Linked DNA regions of Mus musculus. The protein of the gene in region 1 purifies or fractionates together with the protein of each later gene. This does not show direct contact. Links are inferred from orthologs where the notes say so. Each region holds a gene or a part of one and is shown on either strand. Other genes may lie near its edges.

Region 1 (4,951 bases):
GACCACACCTGCCGCCCTCCACCTTAGCGGCACAGTTTCAGCTTTCGGTTCATCCCGCCTCACTTCCAGTTAGTCCTGGCTTCCGGTTCTTAGGACTCTGAAGCCCTTTGGTTTTCCTTTAATTTACCCTGCTGCTAAAGACTGCAATCCATCAAAGTCAGCCAGGTCATCTGAGAGCTTCCTGGGAGCTGCTACAGCTGAATTCCTGCTGTCTAGAAGGATCTGGTCTCTGAGAGCTTGTTTCCTAAAGTCCTGAGCACAGTTCTTGGCAGACCAGCTTCCCAACCCCAGATATGGGAAGCAGTCACTTCCCACCAGGCTCCTGGGCATCCTGGCCGCTTCAGTCACAGGGCAGCTCTGGGTCTTCTCCACCCCACCCCCTGCAGCACAGCTGGAAGGCGCTGGATGACTGAAGGAAGCCAGAGCTCTTCTCCCAGGCCTCACCCACCCGGTCCCCATTCAGTTCCCAAGCCCGCCCTCATCCCTACTGCAGCCGGCCACTTACGGTTATCAAAAATCGGATGTGAGAGGACAGGGGTCAGGAGGAGGGGCCTGCCTGCTGGGTCCCGCACTGTCACCTGGAAGCAGAGGCGCACTGCATTCAAGTCATAGTCCCCGCGCTGCTCCTCTATAGGAACTGTCAAAAACAAAAAAACAACAAAAACAAAAAACAAAACACTGTGGTGGAAGGCATTGGGGGTGGGGGAGGGGGGACGGGCCAGGGAGCTCTGAGGAAAGAGGAAGGTGATTTGAGGAGATGTAAAACAGAAGTCTAAGGGGAGGAAGACCCTAGATCCATCACGGCTCTCCAGGAGCCCTCTCTAGGCCTGACTCTCAACGGCAGAGTGTGAGTGTGTGCCAAGCTGGCAGCAAGGTTCCACTCCTGCTGCTGGGTTGGCCATGGAGGGAGATGAGCGGCAGAGGCCCAGGGAAGGTGACAGAGATACTTGCACCACACGAAGATCAATGTCTTTGCCCCTTGCTCCTACCGTGAAAGGGGTTATTGTTGGTCTGGATTCGCTGGCTAATGGCTTGCTCCAGGTCTCGCTTCTTCACACACTGGATCCCCAGGTTCTGGAAGCTGAGGCCTCAGGTATTAGTTTTGTGTCTCCAGCAGAGCCCCTTCTTGCCTCCCAACTCCACAGCTCTCAGGTATGTCTAGGCTTCCCACTCCTTACCCACTGGCAAGTCTCTGAGGGAGCTGGCCCTCGCAGGCCTCCAAGCCAGTGCCCCACCTCAGCCACAGGGGCTTCCTTTCCCAGACCTAAGCACACGAAATGGAACGTACTCCCCTTCCAAGGGCATCGTACTGCTTGCTTGCTTGCTTGCTTTTTTTTGTACTTCTTTCTCGTGCACGGAATGTTCTTTTGGGTCTGTCTGCTTTTTCTCACCATTTAAGAGTTAGCACAGAGGCCTTCTGTAACCCTCCAACCCAAAGTCGTGAGACCTGTGCAGCAGGACACGGTGCTACATGCCTATTCCCCTGGAGTTGAGAAGAGGAGGCAGGGGAACCCTAACGAGTTCAAGGCCAGCTTGAGCTTCCTGAGACCAGACTCCTCCTCCTAATTTATAACTGTGTTTTCTTTCCATCATGGAAGTTATAATTCTCTACCAGTATCTCGTCTATCTGTCTGTACAATTATCGCCTGGTTTTACCAACTGGTATTTAAGCTCTAGGAGGGTCCATTTGGATATCTTTCTGATCCAAGAGGCTAAGAGGCTGGCCTGTCCAGCCATAGGGTTTGTGGCTCTAAGAAGATAAGGAGTTCCCAACTGTTAGAGAATTCAAGACAAAGGAGGTCTGTTTGCAAACTGGAGACAGAGTTAAGAACTCTGGATTCTGCCTGTGTTTAGAAAAGAGCAACACTGTAAGAGCTGCCTGGCCGGCCTGCTCCTACCCTGCCCTCACACCACCCCCAGCCCATAGGGAACTCACCTATGGATACTGCGGTCTGGGCAGAGGTCAGCCTCATAGTAGCCATCCCGGCAGTCCTTCCCCACAAGTTCATGTGGATGAGGCCGGTGAGGTGGATCCTTGGTGACCAGGGAGATTCGAACTGTTCCTGGTCCTGTGTAGCCATTGATCTGTCCAAAGTACAGAGTACTCTAGTGGCCAGCAATCCCTAATCTGGCTCTTAGACACAGGGCACGGTGACCAGGAGGCAAGTCTGCTGGGGCTGCACAGTGCGTTCCACCACATCTGTGTCCCAGCGACACCCCTGGGGGCTCTTGCTTACCTTGATGGTGGGGTGTGTCTTGGTGGTATCTGTGCTTCTCTCGCCAGGAATACTGCCCGCTGAGCGCCCCTCGCATTTATAGCGGAATCGCATGCCCCGTTGCTTCGGCTGTTCGATGATCTCCACATAAGGCCCAGAAGCCTGGGCTGGCTCTGTGGGTGACACAGTCAGCCATCAGGTGCTATCCCCACGGCCCCGACTCCAGGACAGCCCCTGACTACTGAGGATGGATGGTCCAACTTACCTGAGGGAAAGATGAGGGGAAACAGATCTGAAAGGGAAAGACAAGGCACATTGTCAATAAACTCCAGTGCCCACCCTCACCTGCGAAGGCCTGACAGAGCCAAGCTCCCTCCCTTCCAAGAAAACTGAGCCAAGACCCTGAAACCTGCCCTGACAGAGGCCGGGGAACTAGAGAAAGGGGACACAGAGGCATTCCTTTGCCAGGGGAAACTGAGTCAGTGCCTGTTTTACGTTCATAAGTGACACTGAGGAGGGGGTAATACCCTCCTCTCCTCTTCTGGGGAAACTGAGTCAGATACTTTCTTCCTTACACGGAAAGGAAGCCAGAACTAATCGCATCGACACGGGGGTGGGGGGAGCCGGAGGAAACGGAGTCAAGATTCACCCGTACCCCCACCCAGGAGGGACACTGAGTCAAGGCGCCCTCCACTGAGAGGGGTAACTGAGTCAGACCCCCTCGCAGCCCGCCCCGCCCCGTGCCACCATCCGGCCTGCCGCTCCCTGCGCAGCAACCCGCGGCGCAGAAAGGGGCGGAAGACGGCGCGGGGAGGGGGGAGATTCCGCCGCAGGCCCCGGAGCTCTAGGGCAGCCATCCCCCGAGCCAGAGGGCAGCCTCACCGTCCATGGTCAGGGTCCCGGGGGCGGGGCCGGGGTCGCAGCTGAGCCCACGGCGCGCTAAAGTAAAGCCATTCGCCAGAGGCGGAAATGCGCGGCGCGCGCCCGTCGTCGCGTCACTGCCCGGAATCCGGCCGCGCCTGCGCGCTGAGCCGCCGCCACCGCCACCGCCGCGCGTGGGGGGCCGAGAGCAGGTGCGCGACTCACGCTGGGCGCGGAAGGTGTGCGGCGGGCGCGCGGGCGGGGACACCGCAGCGCGGCGGGAGGACGCCGAGGCTGTTTGTCCCGAGGCCGGCCCGACTACAAGCTCCGCAGCGCGGCTCGCTCGGGGTCCCGGTCCCGTTCCCGGCCCCGCCTGGAGGGCGGGCCCGCGATTACTCACTCTGTTTTTAGGGGATTTCGGGTCCCGTTCCCCGCCCCGCTCTGATCTCAGGAGTTTGGTGATGTCACCCTGGCCGGGACTGGAGCCGAGCCAGGGCTGGTGGCAGGCTGCGGCCATTCGCCCTGCGCAGGGAGAGGCCCAGGCCTGCTGCTCCCGCGGAGGCCAGTGACTGAATTCCACACGTTTTCCTAAGCGTGCAGGGGCCTTCTGGGGACCCGCGTGCTACGGGCCACATGCTCCCCAACCTAGATCCGGCTGCGCGCAGGAGTGCTTCGCGGAGCGAGCGTGCTGCATCCGACAGGCCTTAGGGTAGAGGGGCAGACCGAGGACTAGGCAGACACCTGTACCTCTAAGAGTCCCTGAGAGCCATGAGTGCTGGAAGAGCCCCAGGGCTTCGTCTGCACACATAGGTGCTGTCTGCTAAGGTTTAGATCTTTAGGGATCTCCGGAACCAGCTAGGGTCACACCGTGAACATCTCCTTCAAGGCCTCCCAGGAGTCCAGGCTCCAATGAGGAAAGCGTTTGTAGGGAGCAAAAATTGCCATCTAAGCCAAGGGCAGGTGTGCAGATTGAGTGTGGGGACTCTGGCCGGAGGACGCAACACATCAGGCTGCCTCCACTATGCCAGAAGGAGGAGGCGCCTCCCGGGCCACAGGAGGTTTCAGCACTCAGAGAAAGACTTATTTTCTCTAAATTAGGAAATCATGTGGGAATTGGAAAAGATTGGAAATTCTGAATTGCTTTCCCAGGCTCTGAAAAAAACAGGAAGACAAAAGTGAAAATAGTTACGCCCCTCCCACTCATTTCAGTTTCTCACTTGGCGCAGATTAGAAAAAGCAGTTTAATATTTTGCGAGGGCGGATGTCAAGGCGACAGAATGAATATAATCTCCAATTAATGGCACACAGCCATCATTGGTCCTCACATGAACCACTTGTAAAAACACATATAGTTACAATTTAAGTTAATATGAATACCAGCGTCCTTACTAAAAAGTAAAGGCTAGAAATGAGAACTCAGTAGTTTTTGCATAACGTTGCAGGAAGCTGGGATTTGATCTCTGACTCCAGGATGCTCCAGTAATCCCAGCGCTCATGGGGTCAGACGTTCAACGTCATCCTCCTCTACATAGTTTGAACCCATCCAGAACTACAGAAGATGCTCTTTAAAAAAGGATGGTTGCAGGCTGGAGAGATGGCCCATCAGTTAAGAGTCGATAATGCCCTTGCAGAAGACCAGAGTCCAGTTATCAGCAACTGTAACTGCAGCTTCCGGAGACCTCACACTGTTCTGGGCTCTTGAGAGCAACTGCATTCACATGTGCACATATATACAAAAATAAAAATAATAAAATAAAATAAAAGATAAATGTGAGTTGTGTTTGGTAGTGCAGGCCTTTAGCCCCAGCACTCTGGAGGCAGACTCAGCAGGTCTCCTAGTTCGAGGCCAGTACAGTCTATACATAGTGAGTTGC
Region 2 (5,152 bases), on another chromosome or scaffold:
AAAACAAAAAACAAACAAACCAAACCAAACAAACAAACAAAAACAAACGAACAAACAAAAAATTTAGAGTAGATGACAATGTCCCTTGAGGGACATTCTTTTTTTTTTTTTTTTGAATTAATTAATTTATTTCATGTATGTGAGTACACTGTCGATGTCTTCAGACACACCAGAAGAGGGCATCAGATCCCATTACAGATGGTTGTAGCCACCATGTGGTTGCTGGGAATTGAGCTCAGGACCTCTGGAAGAGCAGTCAGTGCTCTTAACCCCTGAGCCATCTCACCAGCCCCCTAGAAACATTCTATTAGTATCTCAGACTTCAATATGATAACCATTGACATTCTATTAATAGATGTTACATCACATAATTTAAAAAATTGAGGAAAGAAAACACAAATATTTGTACACAATATAACTGATCTTGGCCTAATTTTTTAAAATATTTACTCAAAATATTTATATGAGTACACTGTAGCTGTTTTCAGACACACCAGAAGAGGGAATCAGATTCTATTACAGATGCTTGTGAGCCACCATGTGGCTGCTGGGAATTGAACTCAGGACCTCAGGAAGAACAGTCAGTGCTCTTAACCGCTGAGCCATCTCTCCAGCCCTTGATGGGCTAATTTTAAAGGCCAAGGGATACTGGTCAGCTTAGATGTATGGCCTCCACAGTCTCCAGGATGTTGGGTCTCCCTTTAGAACCCATCTCACCACAACTCTAAGTTTACAAAAGCAGGAACCTGTTACCATCCCTTTTAATCAGTTTCACATAGGAACAGAGAATAGGCACATAGGGGCCAGAAAAGTGGGTGGGAACAGACTGAAGTTAGAAGCCAAAGGCACTGGCCAATGAGAGTGTCAGCAGGTGTGTGTTTTCCTCACCCACTAGTTTCTGGATTGCTTTTTCTTGGTCAAAAAGCTAACTTTGTATCTCTTGTTTTCTTCACCACTGCTGGCCAGCTCTCCCCTTGCCTCCCTGTTGTCTACCTCTGTACGATGCACAGTCATCAGACCCATTCAACGCTGTTCTGTCACCACGGTCCTTCCACTGACTCAGAACTAACTCTGTGTCCCACAGTTACTTCTCATAGGCCACCTGCCTCAAGGTCATTCAAGAGACGCAGCTGACACGCTGTAAGAAACCCTTCACCAACTCTCAGATCATATGTAGAATCGGTCCATTTCTCACCGTATGATTCATCTCATCTTCTCTGGTATCACTTCGCAGGAGCCCCATCTTAAATCTGAAAATGGCCCTGACTACTTCCCAAACTGGCTCTCCTGTTTCAGACCTCCACTCCTTTCCAAGTGTTTGTCTCTCTTTAAAATGTCTGAGCAGCTCTGAATTCCTGGTCATTTTCTATCTCATGCTCCATTCTCAGCTGAGGGATGCCTTTCCAGGCAAACCCATCCCAGTACTGAGTCGAAGTCTCCACTAGGGTGCACTTGGGAGGCTCTCTCAAAGAGGAGTTTATTTCTCTACCTGGCTTTTAACTAGAAAGACATATAGCTGTGGAATGAGTCCAATAGCTCACAGACAGGGAAAAGCCTGTCAGCTCTGTTTCTCTCCTGGTGTGCATGCTGCGTACGTGGCCGGATCTTTCCTTGTTCTGCTAATGAGCCATGCCCGCATGCCGGGCTTGTTTACTTGCTTGTTTGGTTAACCTTTCTGACTCTACCAGAGTTACTTCCATAGCTCCCTAGTCTTTCTCTTAACTTTGGAAGGGAGATTATAGAACCAGCCTCTCCGCCCCTAGACCCGCCCAGCCCTGTCTCACTTCCTCTCGGGAGGCGGGCTCTCCTCGGGCAATCTCTCGCTCAGTTTTCTGGCTCAGATCTGAGACCCATTTCCCGCCTTCACAGACCTAATCAAGAAATGGAAACTGAACCAGTTTCCGTGCAGAAGGTACCTGCACCCCCTGGATCTCCCTGTCGACAACAGGACTCTGCCCTGACCCCCACGCCCACCATGCCTCCCCCAGAGGAACCCTCCGAAGACTATGAACACAGCCAAAGCCCTGCAGAGGTACTACTGGGTTAGAAGGTGTAGGGCTATTAGGTTTTTTTATTCGTTTACTTTGGTCGAGGAGTTGAGGATGAAGAAGGTCGTTATAGAGAAGTAAGTTAATGGGTTAGTGTCCTAAAGAGACACCAAGGTCCTGACCCTCCTGGCTGGGCAGAGGTAGAACTGATAGCCTAGAGTAAAATAGGAACAGGGGCCCGGCGGTGTGGGGCACACCTCTAATCCCAACACTTGGGAGGCAGAGGCAGGTGGATTTCTGAGTTCAAGGCCAGCCTGGTCTCTACAGAGTGAGTTCCAGGACAGCCAGGGCTACACAGAGAAACCCTGTCTAAAAAAAAAAAAAAAAAAACCGGGATGAGTTGGATTGTAACTGGGGATAGTTGGATTGTAACTCCTACTCCCTGAAGCCTTGCCTGAAGCGCCTACCTCAGATGAAAGACTATAGTCCTGTGGAAGGCCTGGCCAGGAGTCTTATTTGCTCTGGCCTGGAGCTAAAGGCATGTCCCAGACTTGGCAAAACTATAGTCGCCCTCCCTGACCCCCACACCAACACTTCCCGTTTTTCAGCTGTGGTTGCACATCCCAGGAGCAATAGTGCTTGGGATGGTAGGGCTGGAGGGAGGATGACAAGTTCCAGGCCAGCCTAGGCCACAAAGAGAGTTCAAGACCGCTGAGGGCATCACAGCAAGACCTGTTTCAAAACAAAACAAACAAACAGACAGAACCTGGCTCAGACCAAAGTGCCTGCTAAGACCAACAGGATTCACACAGCTGCTTTCTCTTTTGATTTTCATCAATTTATTTTATGTGTATGAGGTTTAGGGATTTATTTTATTTTATCTTTTGGAACACAGGGTCTCACTCTGTAGCCTTGGCCGGGCTGGAGCTTGCTTTGTAAGCCAGGCTGGTCTCAAATTCATAGAAACCACCTGCCTGCCTTCTGAGCTCTGGGATTAATGTATGCGCCACCAAGCTCATTTTCCTAAGGAAGCCTAGTTCATGGCCTTCCTGGGAGTATTGCCTCAACCTTCCATACTCACCCTGGAAGGAACTACCTCCATCCCATTATTCTTCACTCATTTTTCCCTTCACAAAAAACACAAATAAGGTCACATTGCCCTAACTTTTTATTATTAGCATTATATAGCTAAGGATTAAAAATACTAGTTGACATTTATGGGTACTTCTCTCTCTCTCTCAATCTCTCTCTCTTTTTTTTTTTTTTTTTGGTTTTTCGAGACAGGGTTTCTCTGTATAGCCCTGGCTGTCCTGGAACTCACTTTGTGAACCAGGCTGGCCTCGAAATCGCCTGCCTCTGCCTCCTGAGTGCTGGGATTAGACTTATGGGTATTTCTCATGTGCCAGGCACCATGGTATTGAGCTCTTTGAACAGTAGCTCCACCTTCTATACCTATGAACTAACTATTATTATTTTATATGACATGACTGGAATTACACAATATTTCTAATTTTATGGCAGGCATATTATTTCACCATGTCTTCAAGGTTCATCCAGGTTGTTGAATGTATCAGGATTTCATTCCTCTTTCAGGGTGAATACTATTTTGTTACATTTGCAGACACATTTTGTTCATGCGTTCATGTGCTAAGGACACTTGGGTCACTGTGACTTTTGTGGGGGTGTTGCTAGGCACATTAGTATATAATTATATGCTTGGATATTTTTTCCAGTTCTTTTGAGTATATATATGGAAAGTGGAAGCTTGGTCATACGGTAGTTTAAGTCTAACTTTTTGAGGGTCATCCTGCCAATTGTGTTAAGCACTTTATATGAAGTTGATACTTTTCCAAACTTGAGTCCCTTAAATGCAAAGATGTATCTATCCTATCTTGTATCTCAGGACCTACTAGTGAGTCTAATGATAAGCAGATGGGTGCCCGGTAAATTGTGCAGTGAGAGCTGCAAGGCTCGAAGTAAATGAGGAACTGGGGTGCCGATAAGCCAGGACATGATCCAATGACTCCCAGGAATGGAATGTGAGGTCCTACCCTCTCCAATCTCCAGCTGAAGGGATGGGCGGCCAGTGGAGGGGACAAGACGTCTGGGCTTTCTGTAGGCCTCACTTCTCTCCTTGGTTCACTAGCAAGCCATACAGGAGGAATTTCAGTTTCTGCGCTGCCCGAGCTGCCAGGCCCAAGCCAAGTGCCCCAAACTGCTGCCTTGCCTGCACACGCTGTGCTCCGGATGCCTGGAGGCGCCTGGCCTGCAGTGCCCCATCTGCAAGGCTCCTGGGCAGGCCGATGCTAATGGGGAGGCCCTGGATAACGTGTTCTTCGAGAGCCTGCAGCGGCGCCTGGCGGTGTTCCGGCAGATCGTGGATGCTCAGGCTGCGTGCACCCGCTGCAAAGGCTTGGCCGACTTCTGGTGTTTCGAGTGTGAACAGCTCATTTGCAGCAAGTGCTTCGAAGCACACCAGTGGTACCTCAAGCATGAGGCCCGGCCCCTGGCTGATCTCCGCGACAATTCAGTGAGCAGCTTCCTCGACAGTACGCGCAAGTCCAATATCTTCTGCTCCAATACCAACCACCGCAACCCTGCGCTGACTGAGTAAGTGGAGCATCCTGGAGTCAGGGGGTGAAAGCTTCAGGGAATTGTCACTCAAAATGGGCTCCGCTGGTTTATAGTCGTTTCTAATGACCCTTTGAAATATTATATATAGCTTCAGAGTCATCTTTGCACCCATACCTAGTTTGTCTTTAGGATGAAAAAATTTCAGAGTGCCATTGCAAGTGATATGTGAAAACAGTAGGTTTTAGTATGTGTCACCACCGAACTTTAGATGTCTTAATAGTGGACATTTCCTTCGGAGGCCCCAGGGAATCTCAGTAAGGCTGGATGTTATTATTGGGGCAGGAAAATAGTGTTTGAAAAGTTGAAACTATGGCATCAGGGAGTGCTATCTGAAAATGACTATATGCAAAGAACAAAGAAAGTCACTTATAATTATTTTTGTTAAGCAACATATTTTCTATTTATGTAGGGAATATATTTATATGGCTCACAAACAAAATTTATACTAAAGAAAAGAGAGTGCCATCTCCATTCCATTCCTACCTGCTTAGTTTTCAACACTTTACCTCCATTCTCAGGGCAGCTGCCAT
Region 3 (5,085 bases), on another chromosome or scaffold:
AGTGCTACATGTAGCTAGAAAATAAAAGAAATCAGTCATTTTGTTTGAACTACACTTCTATCTCAAAAATATAAACATACACGTTTTCCACCCAGCACTTAAGAGTTTGCAGTATGGCTTTAAATTGTTGTATCTTTCCATCACTTCAAACACAAAACTGGAATATACCCACAATCATTTTTCTACCTAATCAGTCATTACTAATAATCTATGCCACCAAATACCCCTTCCTGCCACCATGGCCAGTCTCTTTCCACCTGTTCTCTGCACAGCAGCTATGATCAATACCTGCCGTGCTCAGCAGGTCAGGAAATGATACCTTATATTTATAGCATCTTGCCTCGAGGTCTCAGGGTTGCCTTCTCTCCAGCCACATATTGAAGCCTAAGTGTCTGAGTAATGAAGTCATTAAGAACCGATCGTCCTTCAGCAATGTGATTTTATAAATGCTACCACACATTGCACTGGATGCAATTGTGCTATCACAGTGCAACCAGAAATTGCAAGAGAATGATGGTCCAGAAACAGGAAAGGGAGGGAGGCTAAGTGGCTTTAGACTGCCAGGCAGGATTTAAGGTTACAGACAACTGACACTCAACAGCACGACAGTAACAACAATTTAAAGTTAAAATTCCTTGGCTTGCTTTGGTGTCTTTGAATATATTTGATACACATGAAGAACAGAAATCCCAGGTGGGCCAACCATACCATCATTTACCTGACTGTGTTTTACAACTTAGACCAAAAACTAAGGCCAGTTTTTCTTTGTAAAATTCAGACTTTTAAACCAGGATCTGCAATAAAATAACAGGCACCCTTGAGAATCTTGAAGAGATGTGACCAATCTTTCACACCTAAGGGCATACTTGCTTCCCCCAAGTGGCTGATCTGAGTCAAGTTCCAAGTCCCTAAGGTATGTTTTTTGCATTTCCTACTACAATAGTACAGCTGTCCCCTTACCCATGGTGGCTTTAGCCCTGGTGGTAACTCAAGAGTCCAGGAAGCCAGTGATATATGTAATAGTGAGACCACGTTTCTGTAAGCCACCTAATACAGTTAAGCAGTCAGTGCATTCAATCTGTAGCTGTTTATTTCTGTTTACTTGTTTTATTTTGGAAGGAAGAAAAAGAAAATGGTGCTGTTTGAAGACGCCAAACTATTGAATCTTGTACCTGCAAACAGGAGCCCTTATCTTGCCATCGTAACACTAAGCAGCTCTATGCTTCAACACTCTAATTGTGAGCCACAACTGCCCAGGCTAGAATTCCCAGTGTGGGTTTCATATAGCTACACGTACAGAGTCCTTGTACTTGAATGTTAGGATTGCTGACAAAGAGCTAAATAAAGCTGCACTCCTGGTACCTTAGAAAGAACTCAAATTGTATTTTTAGTACCAAGCAACTACATTCTGTGACTATGTAATGCGCCTTCGGTTTTTTGATGGTCTGACTGCCTCTCGGGCTGAAATGAGAAAAAGCTGATGATTCTCCTCCTCTGCTTCTCTTCTCCACCCCGCTCTACTTCATTCGAATCAGGCTAGTGTTTCATTGCCTTCATCAAGGAGTATTTAGTACAGCATCTGTGAGCCGCGCAGCAGGTAAAAACTCGGTTTCAAAACAACTGTGGAAATAATCTGAAAATTACTGCAGTGTAAATCCTTTAGTTTCCAATACAGGCTTATAATGAAGTGGCATTACTCAAAATTGTTGGCACATGAGAACAAGCTTAGGAACCCAGCAATCAGCAAGCTAACAGGTGTTGGAATCCCAAGGGGGTTGGGGGATATTAAATAATCACTCTGGGATGGCACCTCCTGTAGCTACAATACCCAGAATTCTAATCAAGTTAACCACAACTCAAAATAATCAGTATTACTGTTTCATTAACTATAATATGAGCTAACAAAAACAAAATAGAGTTCCTTTCATTCCATAAAACGTTCTCTAACCTACTTAAACATGATTTTTCTAAGTTGAGTTATACAACTTAATCAGGCGGGTAATTTTCCAGTTATCAACACAGCATCTGTCCCCAATTAATAAAATAACATCTGCACATGTATAATATCCTTAACTGATCACCTGTAACCCGGAAAAGCATGTTTTCTTTCTCTCATAATAGTACATATCATTTCTAGTGCTCTCCCCCCCCAAAAAAGTCTTCACTATCACATTTAAAAATTTTGTGTGTGTGTGTGTGTCTGCAACAAACTATCACGAAATGATCTGCTGGCTTGTGGCCACTGAAAGGGACTGGTACCCACAACTTAAGCAGTTTCCTATCAGGTATCCCAATGCCCTTGGCAACTGCATCTCAGTCCTTGCCAGCACACATAAACACTGATGCAAACACTGCCTGGACACCTGCCTCCGAGGATGCTTTGGATGGCTCCCTTGCATAAAAACACAAGGCATTTTCCACTTGCCTAGAGCGTGAACACAATATCTTCCCAAAACAATAGCAACGATGTCTGTGCCAAGTATCTCCCCAACAAGGTACTGGTCCAGCTAACAGCTCTAGAAAGGCTAGAAACGAGCCCGAGCACTCTTTCCCACCATGCAGTTCCAGATTCAGATCCAAAACCCAGAGGAACTCCAGATACCACTTCTAAATGCGTGGACCACAAGCGTCAGAAGGAGCTGACTTTTCAAAGATTTGTGTTAAATTTAAAAAAGAAGAAGAAGAAAGAAAGAAAGAAAAAGAAAGAAAGAAACCTCTCATTTGCTCCTTGCACCTCCTATCCTATTCTGTAAGGAATTAACCATGAAACACAAAAGTCCTGGGGTAATTTTGTTTCCTTCTTTTCCTCCTAAAGGCGAAGGAGAGAGGTGGAAGGAAAAAGAGACACCTGGCAGGTGGGTATGGCTCGGCCCGCCCCTCAACTTGGTCGGGACAGATCAGGCGGTGTCGAGGGCTCTGCGCCCGGAGCGCGGCCCGAAGTTTGCTACGGGTGCTGGGCTCCCGGGGCTCCGGGAGGCCGTGACGGTGGGTGGCATCAGGGTAGCCCCGCAGGGCATCCGGTGCACACCCCGCAGCGGCTGGACCCCGCGCTCGGGGGACCCTTCCTGGGCCGCGCGGACTGGCGCGCGCCTTACCTGACCAGCGGCGGGGGCCGTGGGAGGACGGACTGGAGGATCGATGGGAGGATCGAGAGCCACTCCGGCGGCGGCGCCAGGGATTGAGGGAGGCGCGGCGGAGGAGGAGCTCGGGAGCCGCGGGCGGGCGGGCCGCTTTGTCTCTACGGCGCACAGCCGACCCTACGTCACCATGGCAACCGCCACTGCCGGGGCCGGCCGAGAGCCTGAACCCCTAAGGCACCACGGTCCGGGACCCCGCCAGCCCTGAGACCCACGCCCTTCTTCTCAGCAGTTGGGTAGTGTGGAGGAGACAAGGACCCCACCCCCAAACACCCGGAGCCACTGCCAGTGTAGACACTCCCGAGTCTCAGAGTCCCTTGCCAGAGACAGGAAGGCTCCAGAGAGCCCTAAGCCCAGAGCCAAATCTTATTGCAGTGCAGGCTCTGCTTTGCTTTCTTACTCTGGACATTCCAAAGCTCTAAGGTCCCCGTCACCACCACATCTTTCTTTTATGAAGCTCTGCCCTCGAAACGGAAATTCACTTAAGGGAGAAGAAAGGACAGTACAAAGTGATAAACTATCACTTTGAGCAACTGGTACTCCGTGCTCCTGTTGCGGCTGCTGCATCAGACACCACCACCACCACCACCACCACAATCACCACCAACCAACCGCAACCTTTGCCTCTGCTGCATTTCTGGTCTCCCACAATCAAGCCAAGCACCTGCCTTGCCAGGGGCTCCCGTGGGAGGGAAAGGGAGCCTTGACTTCTGATGATAAATACGAGATGTTAAACCGCAACTTTTACACACAGGCTTCAGTGTGAATGTGAAACACTGCCACACTGCTTAGGGACGGATTACAACTGCTAAGCATCCACCATGGGCACCAAGTGACAGAGCCACCGTCTAGCTGCATACTGCCGACCTTGACCCTTAGGAAAGCAACTAGGCTCCCTTGGGAGTCTAGATAGCCTCTCCTGAGGAAATTTTTGGAGAAAGAGGGAAAAGTACCAGCAGGCCTTGGGTCATGCTTTTTTTTTTAAAGGACAGAGCTAGAGGGCAGCTCCCCTGGGTGAGTCACTCCTCTATACTATGTTTTCTTGAAAGTTCAGTGACTAAATCCAAATTCTACAGTGTCTTCCTTTGGACCTCAAGAGCAGGCCATGGACTGTCCTGGCATTTGTGAATCACCAAAGAAGTCCCATTAACATGCTAACTAACCCCCTGGAGAGCTATTGTTTTCTGGGCTTTCAAGCTGTCTGAGAAGGACACACCGAAACAACAGCATTACTGAAAAACAAAACAAACAAACAAACAAAGACGTTACCGATAGAGGAGGCTCCATGTATTAACTTATAAAAATAGAAGGTCCATTTTATGTACTAAAATGAAAGCATTTCACTCCTAAGGAAGGTTGCCTACTTTTTTTTTTTTAAATAAAAAGATCAGTAGGTGGGGGAGGGGGGGTGCACGCCTTTAATCCCAGTACTTTGGAGGCAGAGGCAGGCAGATTTCTGAGTTCCAGGCCAGCCTGGTCTACAGAGTGAGTTCCAGGACAGCCAGGGCTATACAGAGAAACTCTGTCTGGAAAAACCAAATAAATAAATAAATAAATAAATAAATAAATAAATAAATAAATAAAAGATCAGTGCTTCCAGATGAAGTCAAGAGAACGAAATCTTTCTGTCACGCCATTAAGTCATTTGAAGATATGTATCAAAACTCAAAGTGCATGTATGTTTCTCCCAGCTATCTGAATCTAAGAAATGTTACACAGAAACCCATGAATAGATAATGAGAGCTATGCAAGAGTGCAACATACCCCCACTTTTCTACCAGCAAAAATTTAAAACAAAGTATATGTGGACCAACAGTGATCTGGTTAAATTAATTTGGTACGGTTGCACTGTACCAAATGTTGCCACTAAGAATAAATTTAAAAATAAAATAAATTAAAAATAATAAAACATACAATAAATACATATTCAACTTCCTGTTGAAAGAAC

Evidence for each region. The genes of interacting proteins can lie anywhere in the genome.
Region 2: the proteins of Rela (region 1) and Pml purify together in Homo sapiens (affinity purification with western blotting; 3 studies listed by BioGRID, with this or other methods). This does not show direct contact. The link is inferred for Mus musculus from reciprocal best matches to the Homo sapiens genes RELA and PML.
Region 3: the proteins of Rela (region 1) and Rnf182 purify together in Homo sapiens (affinity purification with western blotting; 3 studies listed by BioGRID). This does not show direct contact. The link is inferred for Mus musculus from reciprocal best matches to the Homo sapiens genes RELA and RNF182.

The regions. Positions count from the first base shown.
Region 1 is NC_000085.6:5,635,989-5,640,939, reverse strand, and holds the start of Rela (transcription factor p65), read right to left. Parts: upstream 3,400-4,951; 5' UTR 3,106-3,399; coding exon 3,099-3,105; intron 2,977-3,098; exon of another isoform or gene 2,820-2,976; coding exon of another isoform or gene 2,792-2,819; intron 2,509-2,791; coding exon 2,482-2,508; intron 2,390-2,481; coding exon 2,238-2,389; intron 2,086-2,237; coding exon 1,937-2,085; intron 1,082-1,936; coding exon 990-1,081; intron 638-989; coding exon 506-637; intron 1-505. UniProt on the Homo sapiens protein: NF-kappa-B is a pleiotropic transcription factor present in almost all cell types and is the endpoint of a series of signal transduction events that are initiated by a vast array of stimuli related to many biological processes such as inflammation, immunity, differentiation, cell growth, tumorigenesis and apoptosis.
Region 2 is NC_000075.6:58,246,421-58,251,572, reverse strand, and holds the start of Pml (protein PML), read left to right. Parts: upstream 1-1,786; 5' UTR 1,787-1,882; coding exon 1,883-2,032; intron 2,033-4,134; coding exon 4,135-4,598; intron 4,599-5,152.
Region 3 is NC_000079.6:43,614,078-43,619,162, reverse strand, and holds the start of Rnf182 (E3 ubiquitin-protein ligase RNF182), read right to left. Parts: upstream 3,367-5,085; 5' UTR 3,096-3,366; intron 1-3,095. UniProt on the Homo sapiens protein: E3 ubiquitin-protein ligase that mediates the ubiquitination of ATP6V0C and targets it to degradation via the ubiquitin-proteasome pathway.